Linked DNA regions of Arabidopsis thaliana. The protein of the gene in region 2 interacts with the protein of the main gene of each other region in a pairwise test. Each region holds a gene or a part of one and is shown on either strand. Other genes may lie near its edges.

The links.
Region 1: the proteins of GRF3 (region 2) and AT1G24040 interact in a two-hybrid assay, tested with the Arabidopsis thaliana proteins (one large-scale study listed by BioGRID).
Region 3: the proteins of GRF3 (region 2) and AT5G40880 interact in a two-hybrid assay, tested with the Arabidopsis thaliana proteins (one large-scale study listed by BioGRID).

What each region holds. Positions count from the first base shown.
Region 1 is NC_003070.9:8,502,086-8,510,084, forward strand, and holds AT1G24040 (Acyl-CoA N-acyltransferases (NAT) superfamily protein), read right to left. Parts: upstream 4,711-7,999; 5' UTR 4,669-4,710; coding exon 3,709-4,668; 3' UTR 3,703-3,708; exon of another isoform or gene 3,607-3,702; 3' UTR 3,528-3,606; intron 3,376-3,527; exon of another isoform or gene 3,111-3,375; coding exon of another isoform or gene 2,871-3,110; intron 2,787-2,870; coding exon of another isoform or gene 2,646-2,786; intron 2,493-2,645; coding exon of another isoform or gene 2,343-2,492; intron 2,254-2,342; coding exon of another isoform or gene 2,090-2,253; intron 2,022-2,089; coding exon of another isoform or gene 1,823-2,021; 3' UTR 1,705-1,822; downstream 1-1,704. Other genes in the region: AT1G24030 (Protein kinase superfamily protein), read left to right, coding at 1,309-1,417, 1,517-1,704, 1,823-2,021, 2,090-2,253, 2,343-2,447, 2,646-2,768, 2,871-3,110; AT1G24050 (RNA-processing, Lsm domain-containing protein), read left to right, coding at 4,972-5,125, 5,232-5,397, 5,493-5,573, 6,058-6,181, 6,313-6,354; AT1G24060 (uncharacterized protein), read right to left, coding at 7,651-7,971. UniProt on the Arabidopsis thaliana protein: Protein acetyltransferase with dual specificity triggering both N-alpha-acetylation (NTA), with a large spectrum of modified N-termini, including methionine, alanine, serine and to a lower extent threonine and valine as substrates, and epsilon-lysine acetylation (KA).
Region 2 is NC_003071.7:15,269,588-15,277,255, forward strand, and holds GRF3 (growth-regulating factor 3), read right to left. Parts: upstream 3,529-7,668; 5' UTR 3,031-3,528; coding exon 2,817-3,030; intron 2,719-2,816; coding exon 2,527-2,718; intron 2,517-2,526; exon of another isoform or gene 2,313-2,516; coding exon 1,958-2,312; intron 1,149-1,957; coding exon 713-1,148; 3' UTR 501-712; downstream 1-500. Other genes in the region: SBE2.1 (starch branching enzyme 2.1), read left to right, coding at 1-125, 210-353. UniProt on the Arabidopsis thaliana protein: Transcription activator that plays a role in the regulation of cell expansion in leaf and cotyledons tissues.
Region 3 is NC_003076.8:16,375,542-16,382,944, reverse strand, and holds AT5G40880 (WD-40 repeat family protein / zfwd3 protein (ZFWD3)), read right to left. Parts: upstream 4,053-7,403; 5' UTR 3,465-4,052; coding exon 2,715-3,464; intron 2,609-2,714; coding exon 2,507-2,608; intron 2,398-2,506; coding exon 2,245-2,397; intron 2,154-2,244; coding exon 1,740-2,153; 3' UTR 1,593-1,739; downstream 1-1,592. Other genes in the region: CLC-A (chloride channel A), read left to right, coding at 1-1,122, 1,196-1,300; UK/UPRT1 (uridine kinase/uracil phosphoribosyltransferase 1), read right to left, coding at 4,561-4,716, 4,847-4,929, 5,029-5,101, 5,199-5,292, 5,444-5,504, 5,647-5,707, 5,792-5,875, 5,960-6,154 and 5 more.

The DNA.
Region 1 (7,999 bases), on a different chromosome or scaffold from region 2:
TATGGCCTAGAGATAAACTAATCCCTTGTTCGTATTTCTTCAGATCGATTTTGTGAGATTACCATTTTTTCAGATCACTTACTTGGTTCTTTGTTGAACAATGGTAATGTCACACAATCGATCTGAAGAACCAAGTAAGTGAAGTAGCATATTTTACATAATTGGTTCTCATTTACGACCTCTCATAATAACTGTGGGCCAATATGTGAAACATGATGAGATTTAAATGGTTATAAATAATGTATTATCATTGATCAAAAATAAATCAGTAAACGTTCACGTCACACAATTAGTCAAACATAACAACTTAATAATTGCAAATTGCATTTCATAAGAATAAAACTTTCTAATCATAAAGAGCTGAATGTTTCCTCTTTATTTTCTACAATAATCTTCTTGGTGGCACTGGCATGGTTAGGTGCAATGCAATAAAGCCAAAACAATTTCTTCATCGTTAGGTACTTTGATTTCACCATTGTGCGAGAAAACAGCATGTTGGTTTCCATTGATATAAAACGACAACCACTCTTCAATCGTAAAATAAAAATGTTCTAAGAATGAGTCATCATTTCTATTCGAAGCAAAAGTTCATCCGAACCCAAATCCTTAATATACAATTGGATACGTTAAAGTTACAGTATCCTAGGATTTGTCAATCTTATTAAAAAAAACTAAGATTGCTTTAAGAAAATTATAGGTTTTCTCCACTTATAAAGTTTAACTTTTATAATCTCTCTCTCAACGAACTATGAAAACAACATTAGTAAATAGTAATATAGAAGTCTAGAGAAAAAAGTTGAGACGAAAAGGGTAAGGAAACACTCTGAAAGCAGCTTCCCATCTCTATTTGATCGACAGAGATACGTACGTACACAAACTGGTTAGAAGGAGATAGATTCAGACAAGAGAACCAAACCGAGAATTTGAGCTTAGAAAAGTTAAGGAAACATCAAGTCTTTACTTTCTCAAGATGGCTCTCAATTTCTTTTGCTTCACGTACATGTAATCTACGTATTCTTCAGCTCTACCGTCTCTTTCTCTCTCTCTTGAACTTTCGGTAGTTGAAATACTGCTGTTGAGTATTTCAGAAACCTAACCCTCAAAATCAATTAACTTTATTGCACTCTATATTTATCATCTTCAACCACAACAATCTTCTGTTTCTTTGGAAGCAACTAACTACAAAGAACATCTTCACGACTAGAAAGACACATACCCTTCTGTCTTAAGGACGAGACCAGAAGCTTCTTCTATCGGCTTTGTAATGGTCTACAAAGGATAAGAAAAAACCAAATCCAAACTAAAGCTATGCATTTTCCACTTGTTTCGGCTTGGAACAAGAGAAGGAGAAGCAAATCATATGATACGGATCCATGTACGTTCCTTTTCTCCATCATCTTCGCCAGATGGCATAAAAGTATGTTACTGTTTTTGTTTTTCGACATTACTACTACTGAATATAAAGGGTTTAGGTAAAACTGAATCACCATCTGTTTGAAACTAACCTTCTTCTCAGGGGTCTACAGAACAGCAGAATGCTGGCAAATCGAAGATCAGGCTTCTCAGCCAAGGAAGCGAAGATTCGGGTCATCAGTTTATACCCTCAAGGAGATGGAGGAGGCCACAAGTTCTTTCAGTGATGAGAATCTCCTCGGTAAAGGAGGCTTTGGCCGAGTTTACCAAGGCACTTTAAAAACAGGAGAGGTAGGAACTATATAGCTTCATTTATGTGATTTACAGGCTTTGTAATGTTACAAAAACTTTTCTATCGAAGAGGAGCTATTAGAGTAGGATACATATCTTAATCCCTTGTTATTTGAAGGTTGTTGCAATCAAGAAGATGGATTTACCTACGTTTAAAAAGGCTGACGGAGAAAGAGAATTTCGTGTGGAGGTGGATATCTTGAGCAGACTCGACCACCCAAATCTGGTCTCTTTGATCGGCTATTGTGCAGATGGGAAACACCGGTTCCTAGTATATGAATATATGCAAAATGGAAACCTGCAAGATCATTTGAATGGTAAGTCAACAAAATAAGAGCCCAATCCACTAAAACCAATTGGCGACTAAACCGCGTCTTTATCACAGGAATCAAAGAAGCAAAAATAAGCTGGCCAATAAGGCTCAGAATTGCACTAGGAGCAGCAAAAGGACTCGCGTATCTCCATTCAAGTTCTTCTGTTGGGATTCCAATTGTTCACAGAGACTTCAAATCCACCAACGTTCTACTAGACTCCAATTATAATGCAAAGGTTCTTATACAGTTAATAGAAATGGAGGGTTTATGCAGCACTAATACCAAGCATAGACTAAAACTAAGATGTGAGTGTAATCCTTGCAGATATCCGACTTTGGACTAGCAAAGTTGATGCCAGAAGGAAAGGATACTTGTGTCACAGCAAGAGTTCTAGGAACATTCGGCTATTTCGACCCAGAATATACATCGGTAAAGATTCTTACTTATATTTCACACATGATTCTCTTCCGATAGGGTAAACTAGACACTACTTAAGAAAAATTAAAACTTGCTAGTAATGACATAAAATAGCCTGGAAAAGGAACTTTAATCACACTCACATATCAGAGCCAATAGGCAACGGAGGACAATTTTTAGCATAATTTTTGTTCCCTTCTTCTGTGGCAGACAGGTAAACTTACTCTACAAAGCGACATTTATGCATTTGGGGTTGTGCTGCTAGAACTACTTACTGGACGCAGAGCAGTTGACTTAACTCAGGGCCCAAATGAACAGAACCTGGTGCTACAGGTAAAATGGACCTTTTAGGTTCTATGATTCACAAACACAAAAAGTTCAAAGATCAGGAAACTTAACATAGGAATAAACTGATCAATTATCTCTACGTTTCAGGTTAGGAATATACTGAATGATAGAAAGAAATTGCGTAAGGTTATAGATGTCGAGCTGCCTCGGAATTCATACAGCATGGAAGCTATAACCATGTTTGCTGATCTAGCATCACGGTGCATCCGTATAGAGAGTAAAGAGCGACCTTCAGTGATGGATTGTGTTAAGGAACTGCAACTAATTATCTACACAAACTCGAAGGGTGGTTTGGGTGGGACGATTCCTACATTCAGAAGGCTCTAGACACTGAATTCTTCGAAACAAGTAAAATGGATTACTGTCATTTTTCCTAAAATGAGAGGTCACTGATAAAAAAACACTTGATAAATATAAACAAACAATACTAATTATGAATTACCGGATAATTTCAATTCAACTTCCAGCTAGGAAACTTTGATCAAGCGATATTATTTGGATATATATACTATAATTTCACTAAGAAAATCAAGCACTAGATGTATCCGTATAGTATGTTGTATTTGCTGCTATGAATGTTTTGCTTTAAGAGAAATGAGTACATAAATTCAGGGGTGTAGTCTTGTTTTTTCTTTCCTTCTTTCGCCTAATGCCTAAAGAATTAACCACATGTCTATGAACAAGAAATACAATCGCTGCCAATACAGGAAGCAGATAACAAAGATAAGAGTGTGTGTGGAGTACCTCTACTAAGATCATATAAACAATAGGTCGAAGCAAACGGGATTATCAACCCGACCCTTGGTCATGTCACATTTAGCTCCTACATAATAAAGCCAATCACAATGTTTGTTATAAATTCAGAAAAGGTTGAGAAGAAGACTAAAAGCTAATTGGTACACTGATGGAAAAACTGTACCCATGTTTACACATTTGCAGAGGAGGTCAGCTCATTATCAGACCCCACCATTTCTACTATAGGATTGGTGCATAGTGGAAGAAGTTTCTTCCGCATCAAATGCTTACGCCGCTGTAACATCAGAAGGACCAAAACTGTATCTGTCTTAACAACCTCGTATCCTGCCTTCTTGTACATATTGAAAGGAGCCTCATCAACCATCCTACAATGCAAGTATACATCTTTTGATGGACTAATCTGAGATATCAGTTCCTCACTCGCCTTCAACAAATGCCACCCAATTCCTCTCCTTCTAAGATCCTCTTTGACAGTCATGTTACAGATATAAGGTGATTCCTTAGGAGGAGTTGGAGAAGGAGGAGAAGCATTAGCGCCTCGTTTCTCCAAACAAACCTCAACAGTTCCAGCCATCACAGCCTCCTCCTCTCCATCATCACTAAACTCATCAACTTTTTTCCTAAAGAAACCAACTAAAGTAACTGCGTGTGGCAACACTTCTCTTCTCTCAATCAAATACTGCTTAATCAAAAACCGTAACACAGACTGATAACCAGAAGGTAATAACATCGATTCACCAAATGACTCAGCCAATAGATGCACCGTTGAATCCATCTCTTCATGTCTCATAACTCGAACCCACATCGATCCAGATTCAAGCTCTTGAAAATACGCAAATCCTTCAAGAGTTTTAAGCTTCTCTAACTCATCGTTACTCAAAAACCTCCCGGTACGAAACGATTCCTCTAGAAACGCGTAATTCCCGGTCGATTTAGAGTTTTCTTCTCCAGTTTCTGTAGCTGTCGAAACTGAAGAAGGAGGGAAAGCGAATCTGAGATTGGAGCGGTGAGATTTACACGAGTAGAGTAATGGATATCTATGTGAAGAAGACGAGAAGCCAAACTTCGTTGATTGGGTTGGTTTGAGAGAATCAACAGAGAAAGCTAGTGAGATGCTTAAAGCCGCCATTGACACACACACACACGATTTTCTCCGATTTGATTGTGGTTCAGTGTTCGCTAATCTGTTTATAACGAAATAAAATGGATAAAGTAACAGTCATACACTAATCTTTAAAACGCCGCGTTTTGAACTAATCATGAAGCTCAGTAGTTATTGGGCCCTTATGGCCCATATACTGATATAAAAATGAGGAAACTGTTATAAGCCAGTAGCTATTTGGGCTTAAGGCCCATATTGCGATATATATAGTTTTAATTTTTCCGAAGTTCGGCGATTTCAGAAGACGGAGGAGGAGCGAGGACGGCCGCCATGGATCCAGCAGGAGCATCGGTGGCCAGCGCAATCGGAGGAGAAGGAGAGAAATTCGCGGTGGGGAATATTTATTCAGTGAAGGTGATCACCGGAGATGAGTTCAGAGGGATCGTCATGGCTTACGACCCCATCCCCAACTTCGTCTTTTTTGATATCCTTAATTTCTTTAATTGTTTGTTTCATCAAAATTTGAGATTTAGGTATTTTCAATGTCTTGACCTGAATTGTGTTATCCTTGACGAGTTATTGGTTATTACAAGAGGGTACAAAACCTAGACCTGGGCATTTGAAGAACACTCGGATGGTGAATGCGAGTTTTATTACAGGGCTTTCGTATTTAGGCAAAACTGAAGATCCACTTGATTCAGACAACTTTTCTGTTGATCTTAATGGTCTCCGAGCTAAAGAGGCACTTGCTATCAGGTGATAAGATATTTTGTTGTTGAATCCTTTCAAAATGCAATTTTTATTGCTATTTGCTTGTTTTGAGCTTACTTGGGAAAACGTATTGAGCACAGGCAAGCGGAAGCAGATGCTGAAAGAATGGGAGTTGGTGTTACCGCTGAGGCTCAGAGCATCTTCGACGCGTTGTCTAAGACGTAAGGATCTTCTCTTTTTATACGTTTTCGGATCGAAAAATAAGCTAATCTCTAAGAAGGAAACACAGCTTAGAGTATACGGTAGAGAGGTGGGACGAGATCGTAATCTAATGTTGTTTAGTTGAACTATTAGTTCTTTGTAAACAATTGCTTGGGTTGGAGGATTTTGTTTTGTGCGTCTAATGTGTTATTCCCAAAGATAAATTGTTAGGATCTGGACATGATTTAGTGTTGTTTTGCTCTTGGTTTCCGGTGATGCTAGTTTGCAACTATATATATGTAAAGTTTCTATGTTTGTGGTTGTTGTAGATTACATATGTTGTGGGCTCTAGTGTCAAGTATCTTTAGTCTTCTTTGTGATACTGATACAGTTAAGAAGCTGTCTAGATACATAGTTTTAGACTACATAAATCCTTAAACTTTCTTTGTTTGAATTTGCTTTTTCTCTTTCGAATGAATCACATGTGAATTATTTTCCTTTTAGGCTTCCTGTGCAATGGGAAAACTCAGACATTCTGGTGATGAAAGAGGTACGCGTTCGTAGCCCGTATCTTTCAGATTGTGTCTTTGGAGGAACTGATGCTGCCAACAACCGAGTCAAGAAAGTGGTAAGCGTCACTTTCAGTTCATTGTGTAATGCCAATTAAGCCTCTGGTGTTATATTAGTCATTTGCATTCAATCGTGTAACGTTGATCAAGCCTTGGGTGTGATAGTAATGCAATTTTGCTTTTATCGCAGCTTGAGCTGGAAAGACGAAGGTTGCAACTCTTTGGCACATGAGGCTAGTGAAAAGAGTCGGTCAGTGAAATAGCGAGAAAGGGTTCGTTGCTACTAACCCGAAAGGCGTCTATAGATCTGATCGACCAGCGAAAAGCGGATATGTTTGCTTTTCGCATGTTGTTGTCTTTACTTAGAATCTGCTTGTCCTTGTAAAAGCAGATTAGAGATTTCTTGAGTTACAGCCTTACAGGGATTGAAATTTGGACTAATTTCACCCTGGTTATTGACAAGAACAGTGAGGTCTTGTCTTGTCCACTTTTTACCAGGGCTTGGTTTATTTATCGCCTGGAACTGTAAACTATTCTGAAATGTTGAACTACTTTTTAGTGACTTCTCCGGTAGATTTTTACATCTCGTGTGCTCTAGAACTGAGTTCCTTGATCAATGCAAAAGTTATAAGAAATATTTTTCTGTTGATTGTTAGTATTGAACTGTGTATAGATTCCAATGATGATCATAATAGACCGTGGTGATGTATAAAACCATCTTATTCGATACACAACATATACAACTATGGACACAACTACTTTGCGTTTGGGTGATCAAGCGTGAGCTAACTTGTTGATTAGAAACCAACATTGATGCTACATGCGAATGAAATTTTACGTTACGACTAAGCTAACTCTGGATAAGCGCTTGCATGAGGAGATGGAGATATAACAATGATCACTCAGGTTGCTTGATATCATTTGAATCAAAGCTTTAAGAATGTTGTAAATTGAATCCAAAAACTAGTAAGACAATGTGTTAATTCAACATTGGAACTTATAAGTATCATAGATCGACGCGAGAGTTCTGCTTCTAACAGATACTTATCACCAAAACCTTAACCTATCTTTAGTGCAAAACACCACTAAACTATGAGCCACAAAAATTATTAAGAAGGCAACAAAAACCCTACTAAGAAGCCAAAGGAAACAATCCACACACTTGCTTCTAATCTTCTACTTGTTGAGTATTTCGCTGAGATTGAGTTGCTTTCTTTAGCAATCCACTACTAACACAAGCCTGAAAACACAACCATTTACCAGCAAGAAGACACCACCACAGCAACAGTGTAACATTACTGAACTCAAGATGAAAAGAGACTAACCTGAAGAGCTCTCTTACCACATGAACGAGAATTGTGCCCTGCTTGACCACATTTATTACAATGTATTGTGCGCTTGCTAAGTTTCCCCTTTTTCTTAGGTGGAGACACATTCTTTCCTTTCCTCTTTCGCTTCTTCGATGGAGACTCACAACAAGTACTTATCAAAACAAGAATGACCAAAATGGTATTTTCTTTGGATTAGTTTATAATTTGAGCACTTTATATACCTTAAGCTTCTTCACATAATCCGGATCATAATCTGGATCATCACAGTACTTAGCACGTTTTCTTTTGTTATTATCAGACGTTATCGTGATCATCCATGGATCATCACACGTTGCACGTGTTCTTTTGTTATTTTCAGACGTAATCTTGATCATCGATGGATCATCACACTTAGCACGTTTTCGTTTGTTATTATCAGATGGCGCAGTATGTTGCTCAGCCTCGGGAGGGATGGTTAGCTTAGTCCCAGCTGAAAGGTAGACGCTGAAACCAAGAAGAAGATTCGGGTGTTTTTTCATGAGTCCCTACACCTTTGAAATGAGACTA
Region 2 (7,668 bases):
ACAGTTACTCTGACTACCGTATCGGTTGCTCTGTTCCCGGAAAGTACAAAATCGTTTTGGACTCTGATAACTCTTTATTTGGAGGCTTCAACCGGCTAGATGACTCCGCGGAGTTTTTCACCTCTGTAAGCCCTTTAACTAAGCGAGAACGAAAAGAATAAACTCTTTTCTCCAAGTCGTTACAAAGGAACTAATAATTTGCTATACAGGATGGAAGGCACGACGATAGGCCTTGCTCCTTCATGGTGTATGCACCGTGCAGAACCGCTGTAGTTTACGCTGCAGTAGATGATGATGATGATGATGAACGTTCTTCTCTTGTCCCCATAGGCCTGTTACCCGAAGATGTTTAGGAGCAAAGACAGTTGTCCGAGTTTACCTACTGTAAGCTTCTTTGTACTACAAAAATTTACTCGTTGATCTTCTTCTCCTTTAGTTTTCGCTTGCAGCATCATTATAACTTAAAAATGAAATAAAAAGTCGTTGCACTTCTACATTTTGCCTAAGCTTCATCGTAGATCCTATTTAGACATGAATTTCCAAAAACAAATCTTTGAGGATATAAAATCTGCAGAGAAAGGCTACAGATACAAGGGAAATCTTAAAAGAAAAAGGGAAGAGGACAACAAAAGCCTCCCCTCTTTATACAGGAAATTTGGATAAAAACCAAAAACACAGTAAAAACCGCATTGTTGTGTTGGTTTTACACTGGTCAATGAAAGGCTTGTGTCGAGACACCAAGCTGATGGAGAACACTGGTTGGGGAAGATGAGGAAGAAGATCTCAGGGCTTCGGCCAATGGTCCGCCCATGTTGTGATGATGGTGGTTGGAACCTCCACCGCTCCACCAGCTCATGTTTTGCTGATCTCTCCCATTGTTGTTGCTCCGGGCTCCCTCTTCGTTGCCTGTGGACAGCTTCAGAGAGACGTCTGAGGAAGAGTTCCCGGGCATGGAGATGGAGAGACAAGTGGCTGAGCTCATGGGGCTTGAACTATTGTCAGCTTCTTGGAGCGAAGAACGAGGCCAATCGTCAAAGAAGGGCCTCAGGATGTGTCCTCCATCTGATCTGTTGTTACTGAATCCGATGTGGGACTCGTATGGCCTCTTGTTGTTCATGTTGTTGCTTTCTTGCTTCATCTCCGAACAACTGTTAACAGAATCCACATCTCATTGGTGAAAACAAAGCACAAAAGCAATAATTTGTCAAAAGAGAAACCACATTTAGGCTTCAACAACAAAGTTGCAGACAGTAGTAGCCTTTATATTAGTTTATAGGCTTTAAAAGTACCTTTTAATGTGGGTTTTATAAGAATTGATTAAGCAGTAAATAGAAATAGAATTATAAAGTGAGTGTTTTGTATATCATGTGTTGTGTGTGGATAGGGGAGGTGGGTGCAGAAGAATCTAAAAGCTTTAACTTTTCTGCAAGATATGAGACATATATGGGTCAGCTTTCACTAAGGTCCTACCATTTCTCTCTCTTTCTATTTTCTCTGTTTGAAAAGTCTCACACCTAGCTTCAAATTATAGATTCTATCAAATCCAATGTTATCATTATCTCTCAACACAATAAGAAAAAAGAAAGAAAGATATTTTCACAATGAAATCAAACTCATAATTCAACAAACAAACAAACCAACCAACCCTAAAATGATAAGGATGTGTCTCTCAATTTCCAACATTACCCCTCTCTTCACAACATCGCTATGAACATACAAACCAAGTTGTGTATATCATTAGTTCATACTTCATACTAATAAATCAAGAATCAGTATTGCTTTAAATCGATTTCATTATTATTCAAAACAATTGTCTAAAATCTCAACCATGAATCTTATTGGCTCAACACTAAAGAAATAAAAAAGTCAATGTGTTTAAGTTTAATGTTTTGACCATAAAGTTCAACAGCTAAAACAGACAGACCTAAGAGAAAAAAAAACAGTTTCTTTTTATTACCTTTGACTAAGGTGGAGAAGTTCAGATGAAGAGTTAGAAGAGCCAGAGAAGAAGAAAGATCCTCCTTGACCAACCACTTCCTCACTACCACCACCACCACCAAAAGCAAACGTAGATGTTGTTGTTGCTGTTGTAGTGGTGGCTGCGGCTGCTACTGATGAAGCCATGGACGTGGCAGTTGCATTGACGGTGGTTGGAGTTTCCACAGGCTTTCTTGAACGGTTGCGGCCACGGTGCATGTGGCGCTCGCAATACTTGTGGCCAGCGAAGACGTCTCTTGAACATCTCCACTTCTTACCATCCGTTCTCCTGCATCTGCCTGGCTCAGGATCCATCGCTGCCCTTCCCAAATACCCTGTTTTCAACATTCATATCACATATCAGATCAATAACAAGATTCTAATCCTACTTAATCCCATTCACACATGTTTAGATCTTCAAGATTGGCAAAACGAGATAATATACTAATATTGAAAGTCTGGATCTTGGGAACACAACTCCAACACCAGTAGCACAAAACCCATTTATATTTAAAAAATAGATAGATGAAGACTGTTCTCGAGACTCACAAGCAGGTTGGTAATGAGGTAGGTGTTGAAGAGGATGGTGAAGAAAGTAGGAAGGAGATAGATGGAGAAGGCTTTTCTTGATTGGTAAAAGGAGCTCCTGAGGAACAGCAGCACCAGCCAACATGTACCTGTAGATCAGAGCTTGTAGTTCAAGTTCTTGCCACTGTGCCCAGCTAAAGAAGCTCCCCATCTCTACAAAAAGGAATCAAAATCAATTAAACACAAACTATATGAATGAAAAGTCTAATTCTTTATCAAGAAAGATAAGATAAGAGGAAGAAAAGACTCACTGGGGAACCTGGAGGAAGAATCAGGAGACAAAGAGGAGAGTTTAGAAGAAGTAGGCTCAGGGGTAAAGAGAGGAAGAGCAGTAGAAGTTGCAGTGTGAGAATGAATCTGGTCAAAGACATGTTTTGGTATCTTAGCTGCAGAAGGTTGTTCTTCTGACTCTGTCTGATGTTGTTGCTGCTGCTGGCTTCTCCATTGTTTCAGTTGCAAATCCATTGAAGAAAGAGAGAGAGAAGTGTTGGTTACTTTAAGGATAATGGTTTTTCCCCTTTTTTGTCTTCCAGGGTTCTGATTTAATAGCTTATGAAAGTCTTGTTGGTTGGGTTACGAAGAGCAAAAGAAAAGAAAAAAGAACTTTCTTTGCTCGAAGGAAAAAGCTTTGTTCTTGGTAGTCAGTTTCTGTATCTGAGCTTCTTCTGCAGAGAGAGAAAGGACAGAGTAGAGGGAAAGAGGTTTTTAATAGAGAGACTTGCGAGAAAAAGACAGTGAGACAAGACAGATGCGGGGAGAAAATACTATACAGTAAAAAAGACTACTACTATAGTATAACTCTTTATTAATTGTGTTCACAAATCTCTCTTCATTAATCTCAAAGACTATTTAAAATAATTGGTTTAACATTTGTATCAATAAAAAAATGAAAAGCAAGTCAGAAAACCCAGAAAGAACCACTCTGCAAGATGAAGATGGAGAGATAATAACCTGCAGTTTTTCTGTCTTTGCTGCTTTGGAAATACCAATCTCCATTTTTATATTAGTATAGCTTTTTAATTTGTTTTATAATGAAAACAAAAGCCTACTTGTTAAGAATATTTAATTAGTCTTTTAACCAAGTAATTTAGATTATTTAATGAGTAAGCGTTACGTCGATATAATTTGTAATTTGCATTTGTGACAAACCTAACTACTTTTAAATTTGAATTAGTATAAAATTCGTTTAGGTTCCTATATTATCATATCATACGGCACTAGATGTAGTACTTGCCACTCTATTTTCTTTTTTAACTGATTAATTTTGTACCTTCGTTCATAGATCTAGTCCGAAAATGGTAATATTAATTCGGGTAGAATCGGCTGAATTCTTGGTGGAATGAATCTGTTGCAGAAAAACTGAAAATATTATTTTGATATAATTATTTTAAAGCGTTATGCCAAAATTGACTGAAAAATTAATCAAACTAACATAACTGGTGGGAAAAAAAATGGAAACATGAGTTTAATAAATTCATCAGGCTAGTTGAACATGGATGGAGCCTCGAGAGAGAATCCCGGGTTAGCAGCAGCGGGAGGTGCGGTGCGTGATGGGAACGAGAACTGGGTTGGGGTTTTTGCTTTGAATATCGAAATCTGTTCAGCGCCACTAGCAGAGTTGTGGGGACTCTACTATGGGTTACACATAGTCTGGGAGCAAGGAATAACACGCCTTGAGCTGGAAGTGGATTCGAAGATCGTGGTTGGGTTTTTACAGACAGGGATACCGGATTCTCATCCTCTATCTTTCCTACTACGTTTGTGTTATGGCTTCATATCAAGGGACTGGTTAGTCCGTATTTCTCACGTGTATAGGGAGGTCAATCGTCTTGCGGACGGGTTAGCTAACTATGCGTTTTCTTTACCTCTTGGTTTGTATGTTTTTAATTCAGTTCCGGATTCTATTGCTTCTTTTGTTTTGGAGGATGTAAATGGGCCTGCGTTTTCAAGAACTATCCGAATGTAATTTCGTATTTTCTTTTTAATAAAATTGGCGGATTTTCCCCCTTTTCCTACCAAAAAAAAAAAAAAATCATCAGGCTTGAGAAACATTAAAAAAAATGGTTGTAAATGTTTATATTTTAAGTGATAGTTAAGTGAATTATAAATATTAAAAGTATTCAAGTAATTTCTCTATTAGCAAAGTTGCAGAGATTCTTGGAAGTTTTTTTGCCAAATAATTGTTAGCTATTCAAGATTTTTGTCAAAAACTTTTATACGGCGTGGTACGAGTTCATGTTGTCTTGAGTAAACATGACAAATGCATCCTTGTTTATGAGAACTCTTAGAGCAAGGTTAATCCACCTGAGGGTTTTTGAGAGGCCCGGATGCTTGAAGAGTATCGTATGAAGTTTTGGTTGTTGGAAGACCTCGGATTGCGTCATTGCGGAAATGTTAAAGCGAACGGCTTCCACAGAGTCTCAGCATATCCAAGGGAAAAGTCTCATGGGCGTCATCGCCTATACGTATTGCATTATTAGCTAGTTCAAAGATGTGGGAAAATATTTCATCTAACTATCACTTCTCTGTTTTTTTTTTTTTTTTTGACATCCATCTAACTATCACTTCTCAATCACTATGTATCTCATGTTTTCTTTAACAAATCTAAAAGAAAATGAATTCATGAATTGTATGTCAGAATGTTTAGCTAAACTCAAACCCCGAAGCTTTAAAATAATGGTAGAACGATGTCTCAAGAGTCTTAGGAGTCATGTATTAATTATAGAACAAACGACTACTTATGAGTTATTATATCTTTTACAGTTTTACTATAGACTGAAACCAAAATTTTCTGGTTCAAATTTGGTTAAGGTAGGCAAACTTTTGGTCCAATAATTTCTTTCATCTTTTATCAACGGTTAGATTTTGTATTCTATTCAATTTTGTATACAACAATTACATTCTTTTTGGGTTGATTTAGGTTTTACATTCGGTTCTGACTGAGGTAAAAAAAAAGATAGAAGAAGAGAAAATGAAGTAAAGAGGAGAGAAGTAAGTAATAATGAGAAAAGAGAAGCAGGTGGGCTGTGTCAGAGAAAGCTCAGAAGTAAAAAGCATAAAAGTGAGTAACCAAGTGGGTGGTGAGGGTTTGTTTCTCTTTGGGCTGTGATTCATCTTTGATTTGACTACTCATAGTACTTCTTCTTTTTCTCACTCTTACCCCCTCTCTTTTCCTCTATTTTTCACTTTTTACCCTCATAAAATCTTTATTCACATTTTTCTCACACTCCAATTCATTTAACAAAATTTTAATCACATAATACAAAATCTTAATCACATTTCCCTTTTCACGGTTTATCTTTCTATAATTTTAATAAGTTTCATATTATCTGATGAAAATTAAACATCAAACTTTGTTATTTATAATTTTAGTAAATAGATTTTTTTTCTTTTTTATTTCATAAGAGATTAAGTTATTTAATGTAAAGCTTCTCTTGACTGTATAATATCTTAACTATATTATTCTTATAAAATTTCTCAAATTTCAATAACCGTATTATGTTAGTCTACAAAAAAAATTATATTACATCAATATTCTTACATACCAAACTAAGATATATATTGTCCAGTTCTTTTCATGGCATATGTATTTTACATGCTCTATTTTAAAAAATTACTACGTGTTTCAATATCAGTATTGTTGAAATTATACACCCTCCAACGAGTAAGGAGATAACCCATTACAATGCATTGGCACTGATCTACATGAACATGACTGACCAGATTTAACCATTCGAGCAAACAAAATAATAAGTCAACTATATTTTGAATAGTCACAAAACTATACATCGTAATTACAAAACTATTTCTGACATATAAGATTAATAGGTTAAAAGAACCACCGTCGAATCGTTGATGTACGTAGTAGTAGTATCGTATTAACGAGGCAATGATATAACTATCAATATTTTTCGTAAGAAAACACAAGTTTCCTTATTCTTTTCTTACGTCGGCGATAAAAGTTAATGTCGTACTTTGATTTATGAAATTGTGATGGAAAATTGTTTTAATTAATTAAGAAGAGAAACGAGTTATTTGTACAAACAAATCTGAAAATATAGAAATAGAGCAAAGGACAGAGAATAAGAAGAAGAGGCAAAGGAGGGCGAGAGTTCACATGTTCAAGAGAAGACAAATACGTTTCTCTGACACAAATCTGTCAGACCAATATTTTTAAATATTTTATTGTATAGTTTTTATTTTGTTTTGTTGTATGAGAAAGAAACGTATATTATGTCTTTATTACCACCACAAGGGGTCAGGCTCCGTCCACTTGGGGTCCCAATTTTTTCTTTGTTACGAGTTTTTTTTTGTAGTAAAAGGCAAGTCACGCCGGCACGCGAGCCCTCACGTGATCCCACGTGCTTTATTTATTCTCTCCATACCAAAATTTCTTTTCCTTTGTTGTTTGGTAAGGTTTTTTCTTTTTTGGCCAAAATATGATATTGGCGAGATTGAAAACATGTATATTTTTAAAAAAAATGTAGGCGTAAAAATTATGTTACTAACACTTCATTAAGCATATGCCAAGATTTTTAAATTAAAATTTATATATCACTATTGGTCGTTTTTTTTTTTGTGTGTGACAGCAGCTCACTATTGGTTGTTTATATTAACCACATACTAAATAAGGCTAGCTACTACCAAACTTGGACCAGAACCTAACACATGATGTTATTTTTAGTAATATGAAAAAAAAGAAACGAAAAGGAAAAAGGAAAGAATAGATCTTTCTGGTGAGAGAGCATACACAACACATTGGTGACACAAGGTATCTAAGGGCATGACCGCACGTGTCAACATGCATCAAACATGCGATCTTTCAATATTAGTATTATATATTTAGCAAAGACGCAAAAGAATCCAAGGCAAAGACTACTTCGCCTGCATGTCATGCCAATCTCTCTCTATATGTTTTCTAATCAATATACTAGATTACTAGACAAGTTGTTTTCTAATAAGATCTCTCACATATGAGCCAATTTGAGCCAAAACATGATATGATGGATAAAGCTTATTTGGGTATTGAAAGTATAGAGACTGTCAATGAGAAAGTAGTCATTTGGGCCCAAGTACAGAGATTTAAACCTTATCAGGAAAAGC
Region 3 (7,403 bases), on a different chromosome or scaffold from region 2:
ATTCATAAGGTGCTTCTAAGTCTTGGGGTATCTCTATTCACATCAGTTTGCTTGTTCGGTCTTCCTTTCTTAGCGGAATGCAAGCCTTGTGATCCTTCTATAGACGAGATATGTCCAACAAACGGAAGATCAGGAAATTTCAAGCAATTCAACTGTCCAAATGGTTATTACAACGATCTATCCACTCTGCTTCTCACAACCAATGATGATGCAGTCAGAAACATTTTCTCTTCAAACACTCCTAATGAGTTTGGCATGGTTTCTCTCTGGATATTCTTTGGCCTCTACTGCATTTTGGGTCTTATAACATTCGGTATAGCGACACCGTCGGGTCTCTTCCTACCGATTATCCTCATGGGTTCTGCATACGGTAGGATGCTAGGCACAGCAATGGGGTCTTACACAAACATAGATCAAGGGCTTTACGCGGTTCTTGGTGCAGCTTCACTCATGGCTGGTTCAATGAGAATGACTGTTTCACTCTGTGTTATATTTCTGGAACTCACCAACAACCTTCTTTTGTTGCCCATTACAATGTTTGTGCTTCTGATAGCTAAAACAGTAGGTGACAGCTTCAATCTAAGTATCTACGAGATCATTCTCCATCTTAAGGGCTTACCTTTCTTGGAAGCAAATCCAGAGCCGTGGATGAGGAATCTCACTGTAGGTGAGCTTAACGACGCTAAGCCTCCGGTTGTAACACTTAACGGAGTAGAAAAAGTGGCAAATATAGTCGATGTACTAAGGAACACAACGCATAACGCATTCCCAGTCTTGGATGGAGCAGATCAAAACACTGGCACAGAGCTCCATGGTCTGATCCTAAGAGCTCACCTTGTGAAAGTTCTGAAAAAGAGATGGTTCTTGAATGAGAAAAGGAGAACAGAAGAGTGGGAAGTTAGGGAAAAGTTCACACCGGTTGAATTAGCTGAGAGAGAAGATAACTTCGATGATGTTGCAATCACAAGCTCAGAGATGCAATTGTATGTTGATCTTCATCCTTTGACCAACACTACACCTTACACAGTGGTGCAAAGTATGTCAGTGGCTAAAGCTTTGGTTCTGTTCCGGTCAGTGGGTCTCAGACATTTACTGGTGGTTCCCAAGATTCAAGCTTCAGGGGTAAGTTTGCTTTTTTACTCTCTTGATTCAAGATTCAAGAACACTACTAAACGTGTGTCTTGTGTTGTTGCAGATGTCACCTGTGATAGGGATCTTAACAAGGCAAGATCTCAGGGCTTATAACATTCTACAAGCATTTCCTCACTTGGATAAACACAAAAGTGGAAAAGCTAGATGAATAAGCCAAAATGCAAAGAGCGTTCACTATTATTTGGTTTGTGTGATTCGTGTGTCTTTCCACATTCTTAGTTGATATATATTCTGTCCAGTTTTGCTTGCATTCTTCCTTCAAGACCAAAAACAAATTATACCATTTGGTAGATTTGTGTTTTCTACTTGTAAATCTCCTTTTTTTTCCCCACGTTTTCAGTTTCAAAAGAAGAAGAATAAGAAATTTGAATACAGAACAAAACTTTGAAGCTTCCATGGAGTTCACAAATCTTTTAAGGAATTGTGTTAAATAAACATCTTTCTATGAGAGAACGGATATGAAAATATTACTTTCTTTTATCTTGGCAACATTAAAAGTTATTACATTAATGCAAGGATTTAGAATCAACCACCAATGTATATGTACAAATTAAATGAAAATCAATAGTCGAAAATTGTTAAAACGACTAAACTTTGGTGCCAGAAGCTAAGCTCCATACACGCAAGTTCCCACTCTTGTCTCCACTGAATAACAATCCTCCAGGACCAATTGTAAGTGTGCAGATCGTCTGCGTAGAGAACATCTTTCCTCTTTCTTCAAAAGATGGTAGGTCGAAAATGCCAACTGCTCCATTTTGGTAAGAGCAAAACATGATCGGTTTGGCCTCTGCATCGTGCATTCCACAGAGAGTATGAACACTCAGTTCTTGTTTGCGAGTTTGAACAACTTTCAAACTTTCATTTTCAGAACAAGCCCAAAGTTTTATGGTCCCATCCAAGGAAGACGATATCAGACACTTGTCCCAACATAAGAGTGAAGTGACAGTGCCGATATGTTGCTTCAGGGTCATTCTACATTGCAAGGTGTTGAGATCCCACACCTAGAACCACAGCAAACAGAAGTTATTAGAATGCATTCAAAATAAGATTAAAGATGAAATCATTTTGTATTTAGTAGCAGCCATATCTTACCTTTATTGTTTTATCGACAGAACCAGAGTATAGCACTTCACCTCCAACAACAAAACAAGTGACTTCACCACTATGATGTCCCTCGAGAGATGTCAAGTATTTGAATGGATCAGACTCCGAGTCTGTAGCTTTCCAGACTAATATACTACCAGACTGCAATTCCAAAAAAGACAAAAGAAACTTATTAGTATAGATCCAACAAAGAAGCAGAGAACCTAACACATGTATAGAGAAGATAGAGAGTTAAGTTAAAAATGCTTACACTTGTTCCAGCAAAAAGCATTCCGTTTGCAGCAGTCATTGCATGCACCTGACCAACCACCCCTTCAAGATGCACATCTTTACTGTTTTGAACGTTAAAAGCCTGCAAAATTGATAAACAAAAACTTTAACACCAGAATCAACTGAGTTTAACGAACAGAATTTAGATAACAGAAGAATATTTGTGTTAAGAGACGCCTTAAACTAACCTTTACAGCGTTTGGCAAGCCAAGGAAAACCCATGGTCCTTCACTAATTAGAGACCCTGCTTCTGCCTGGAGGTTGATGGATCGAACACACTGACCAGAATTGCAGTCCCAAATTAGCAATGTACCATCACCACTGACTGAAAAGAGTTTATCTGAACCCTGAGGAAGGGCGATTCCCTTAATATCATTCTTGTGTCCTTCAAGAGCAGCTACCATGGCCAGTCCAGGAAAACAAGACCAAGAGTGTAAGAACTGGCATTTCTCGCCCTTTTTGCAGTTTCCATCTTTCCAAAAATTACACACACTCTTTTTGGGACTGCCATTGAGTCTCGGCCCACAACCTCTGGTGTCTGAAAGAGAAGAGCTCCTTGGCCCATACACAGCATTCTTCCTCGGCTGGTTTGATACACGATGTCCTGTGCCTATAACTTGTGGTTTCGCTGACCCATTGGCTGCATTCTGCCTTGGCCTGTTTCCCTCTGGTGATTTGTACTCTTTTGACGTCCAAACCAGATTCCTTGACAACTTATTAGGACCTTTCTTCATACCATTGTCATACGGGGCATAAGGTCTTCTCGTAACTATATCTGCTGCAAAATCTTGCTGTCTCGCAACTCCAAAATTCCTTCCGTGTGAGTATTTCCTTGGCGCCTTGTAATCCATACTAAACATTGAGAAAACACCAACTTTAGAAGACTGAACCACAGAGTCGATAACTGTTTGCTTCATCCATGATGACTGATGACCCATACATAAATTTTCACAAGGGTAACAAGTCCAGAAGCAAGGAGTTTCTGAATTCCCCAATCGCTAGAGAATCAAAAGCAACACATTCTTCTGTCTGTAACCCCAAATTCAATCCAGGTATCATAGAGCACCACGTCCACAGAAAAAACCAAATAAATCTCTAATTCAGAACTCTAAACCTATAATTCATCACCTAAAACCTATTCAAAACCCTAACACTAACAACAAGAAGAGAAGATGTAGCTCCGACAATGTACATAGAAGAGAAACTCGAATCCATAATCCTTATCGGTGAAACCCTAAGATTTATCCATATCCATATCGGTGGAAACCCTAGATCTCTGGGTATCGATGCGAATAGGAGGATCGCGAATCGAGGAGATGAAGAAACGCAACCCAAAGTGAAAGCAGGAAGAAGAAGGCATCATCATAATCGCGGAGAAAACGTAGTCGAAGAAGAAGCAAACCTGAGAGATAAAACGTATGTTGAATCTAGATCTTCGATTAGGGAACGGTTTCGAACTCGATCGCAGAGAGAGCCAAAAGAAAAGGAAATTTAGAGACGGAGGAAATTGAAGGTCAAGAGTCGACTGAAATAAAACTATAGGTCTTGCATAGGAGTGGTGTATTTATAGATGAGCGTGTGGCGGTTACGCTACATTAATTTATAGTTGGGCTTAACTTAGGCCCATCATTCGTGGGTCCAACTAAGGTTAAATTCTATCATTAGGTTTAGGTCATAATCCCTAAACCCTAAGATCCTTAAGAAAAATGGTAAATATATATTAATCAACATGTAAATAAAGAAATTAAAATTAGAGAGAACTGGAATTTTCGTACGATTGTCAAAATCATGTATAAAAGGATTGGTTATGTCTTTTTCCACCGGTTTAGAAAACTAGCATTGTCCCGATCATTTTTTTAATGAGAAAATTAACGTAGTTTTTCAAAAATAATTCAAGTAAGCAAGAGGAGCTTCATAAACAATAAGATAAAGATTCTTTAGCACAAACTACAAAGACATGCAAGTGCCTCTACTGTCGCTCTAGTCATAAATTTAGGCTTTTCCTTTGAAACCAGTCACAGTGTTGAGTGGTGGCTACTGGTCTTCCTCGTCGGTGCCGAAGTAACGATCGCCAAACTCGCCTAAGCCCGGTATAACTCTGAATTCTTGGTTCAGACATTGGTCTATTTCAGACGTCACAATTTTCAATGCTGGAAAACGTTTGCAGACACAGTGGATTCCCTCCGGCGCCTGTCAGAAAGCAAGGTCATGACGAGGGAAAGAGAGAAGCAAAGAGATAGAGAAGCAGATACATAATGAGATCTTTAGCTTCTACATTCACAAAAGAGCGAAAGATCGATATATAGCTTTTTACACTCACCGATATAAGGTTGAGGAATATAATGTGAGCTTCAGGAACACCTTTCTGTATGAGTAGTTCAATGGCTTGATTAGCCGAGTTACCTTCAAGAAGAAGCAATATCACGAGATATGAATTTCGAGAACCAAAAATCCATCAAAAAGGACCAAAATCGAAATATACAGCGTAGAGAGACAGAGTACCTGTGGCTAAGACAGGATCTAGAAGCAGGACATGGCGTTCAGATATGTCGTGAGGAAGCTTCTCATAAATAAGCTGATTATCACGACAAGAGAAACTTCAAAATTCGTGTTTATAAAAAGAGATTATACTTGATACTTTTAAAAACAGAGCAAAATATTAATAGGAAGACCTGTTTTCCATTATCGCCATCACGGTGGATGAGAATCTTCCCTATTTTAATTCCTTTGCAGCAAGCGCGTAATGCATTTTCCATGCTTTCACCACTAGGAAAAACATACAAAACAGAAACCACGTAGGAGAGATAATTTAATCGCAAACAAGTAAATTTATGCCTTGCATGATGTAAAACAGTTGGAAGAATAAGCATCTTATCATATCAAACTTAACCAAATACAATACCTTTCAAAGGCTCACCTTCTAATAATTGAGACCCCACAAAGTTTCTTGCAGAAATCAACACCGGTATATACAGCTCCTGGTGTGGAAAAGATAAGTTTAAATGAGTTGAATAAGCTAACTCTAACTAGATTGACGTGAAGGAGACGGACATCTGATGACCAAGTTATATAAAAAAGTGTATACAGTATTGTTACAGCTCATGCATTCTCTTCTCATACCTGTTGGAGTAACTACTTGTTTCTCAGTGAATGGCAAATGACCAAGACCATGCTCCACGACCTGAAATTGAACTGATATTAGTTAAAATAAGAAAGCCTGAAAAGTGAGTGACGTTGAAAGAGAAGACATAAGGGAGAGATATACCAGACGAATGAGTCTATCTGAATAAAACACAAAGTCATGCTTTGATATGTCCTTTTCCCGAATAAGTGTATGCATGCCTCTTATCTGCAATCATGATCCTATAGTGAGACCATCGATAACACTTACCATCTAAATCAAGTATCAAAGAGAGCAAGAGTGAGAAAATACCTGAAATGTTGACTGGATAACATAAACATTTGGGTAGATTTTGCAGAGATCATGCTGCCCAAGTTTTGTGTGGATATGTTGCGTAATCAAATCGACTGCAACGTGATTATCACCTCCTCGAGGAATGATCACGTCAGCATATTTCTTTGAAGGGAGCACGAAGTCATCAAATGCCGGCTTCACAAACTTTGCATACTGTAAACGAACATAACATCCTCAGAAAACAAATTAGGCACATGGGAAGCTCAGAAGATAAAAGAGATGTTTTACAGAGGAGCATCTCAAAGGATGGAATAAGAACATATAGAGTTATCTAGTAAAAAAACAACAGTAGGAAGCAGAAAAGGAAGAAGAAACCAGAGAAGAGACACAATGAGATGTTCCCTAGAGCAGAATTTCCATGTATTTACTCATGTCTCATATACACACACAAAATAAAGCTACCTAACTAGGTTAGATGAACCTATGCTTACAAATCCTACAGCATAAATCGAAAAGAGGACTGACCTGTTCAAGCACAGAATTGACATCCCTACCCCTCTCAACTGTGTCACGCCTAATTCTGCGAGCAAGCCTTACATCAGCATCTGAAACCATTTAATAGCTTATGTTGAGGACTAGAGAGAAGTGAAAAAGATTCCAAGGAGATAGACAACTTTGATTACAAAATATCATTTCCAGGTATACAAAACTAATAAGGTTATCCAAAGAGTGAAAAAGGATGAGTAGCGCAAGACATATGCATGTTTTGGGGAAACAAAAAGGCATAGCGGTTGATACCTGTATCAACAAAGATCTTCATATTCATCAGATTCCGAACTCGTGAGTCATGGAAAACTAGAATCCCTTCCAATATTATTACATCAGAAGCATTGACCTGACAGAGGCTCCCAACAGATATTAAGTTTAAAGGGAATGAATATATGCTAATATGCCCATTAAGTTAAAATAGGAACACATAAATAAGAGATTCAAATCACATGAGCACAAGAACCACAATAATGGTCTTGGACATAAGAGTAAGCACCTGGCGGAAAGTATCAGATCTACGTTGATGAGTCTTAAAGTCATAGATTGGAACTTGATAGGGTTGCCCGCTCTTGAGAGTCTCAGCACAATGCAAAAGCTGCTCAGTGTCAAACGCATCTGCAAAAGAATACCAAATGCTGCTGTCAGCTGAACCGCAGTGTACTTAAAACCAAAATACAAGCAAGCAGTGAGAAGAAAATTCAAGAAAAACGATTAAGTTAGTTTACCAGGATGATCAAAGTTATACTCTTGCACACGCTGCAACTCCTCAGATGTCAAACCACGATAAAAGGAATCCTAATCAACAAAAGATATCAAACATTATAAGATGTGAATCTCATACAGAATAAAGTGGGACATTGAGAACAAGATTGAAGCAATAGAATCAAACCTGATTAACTAAAACGACACGATG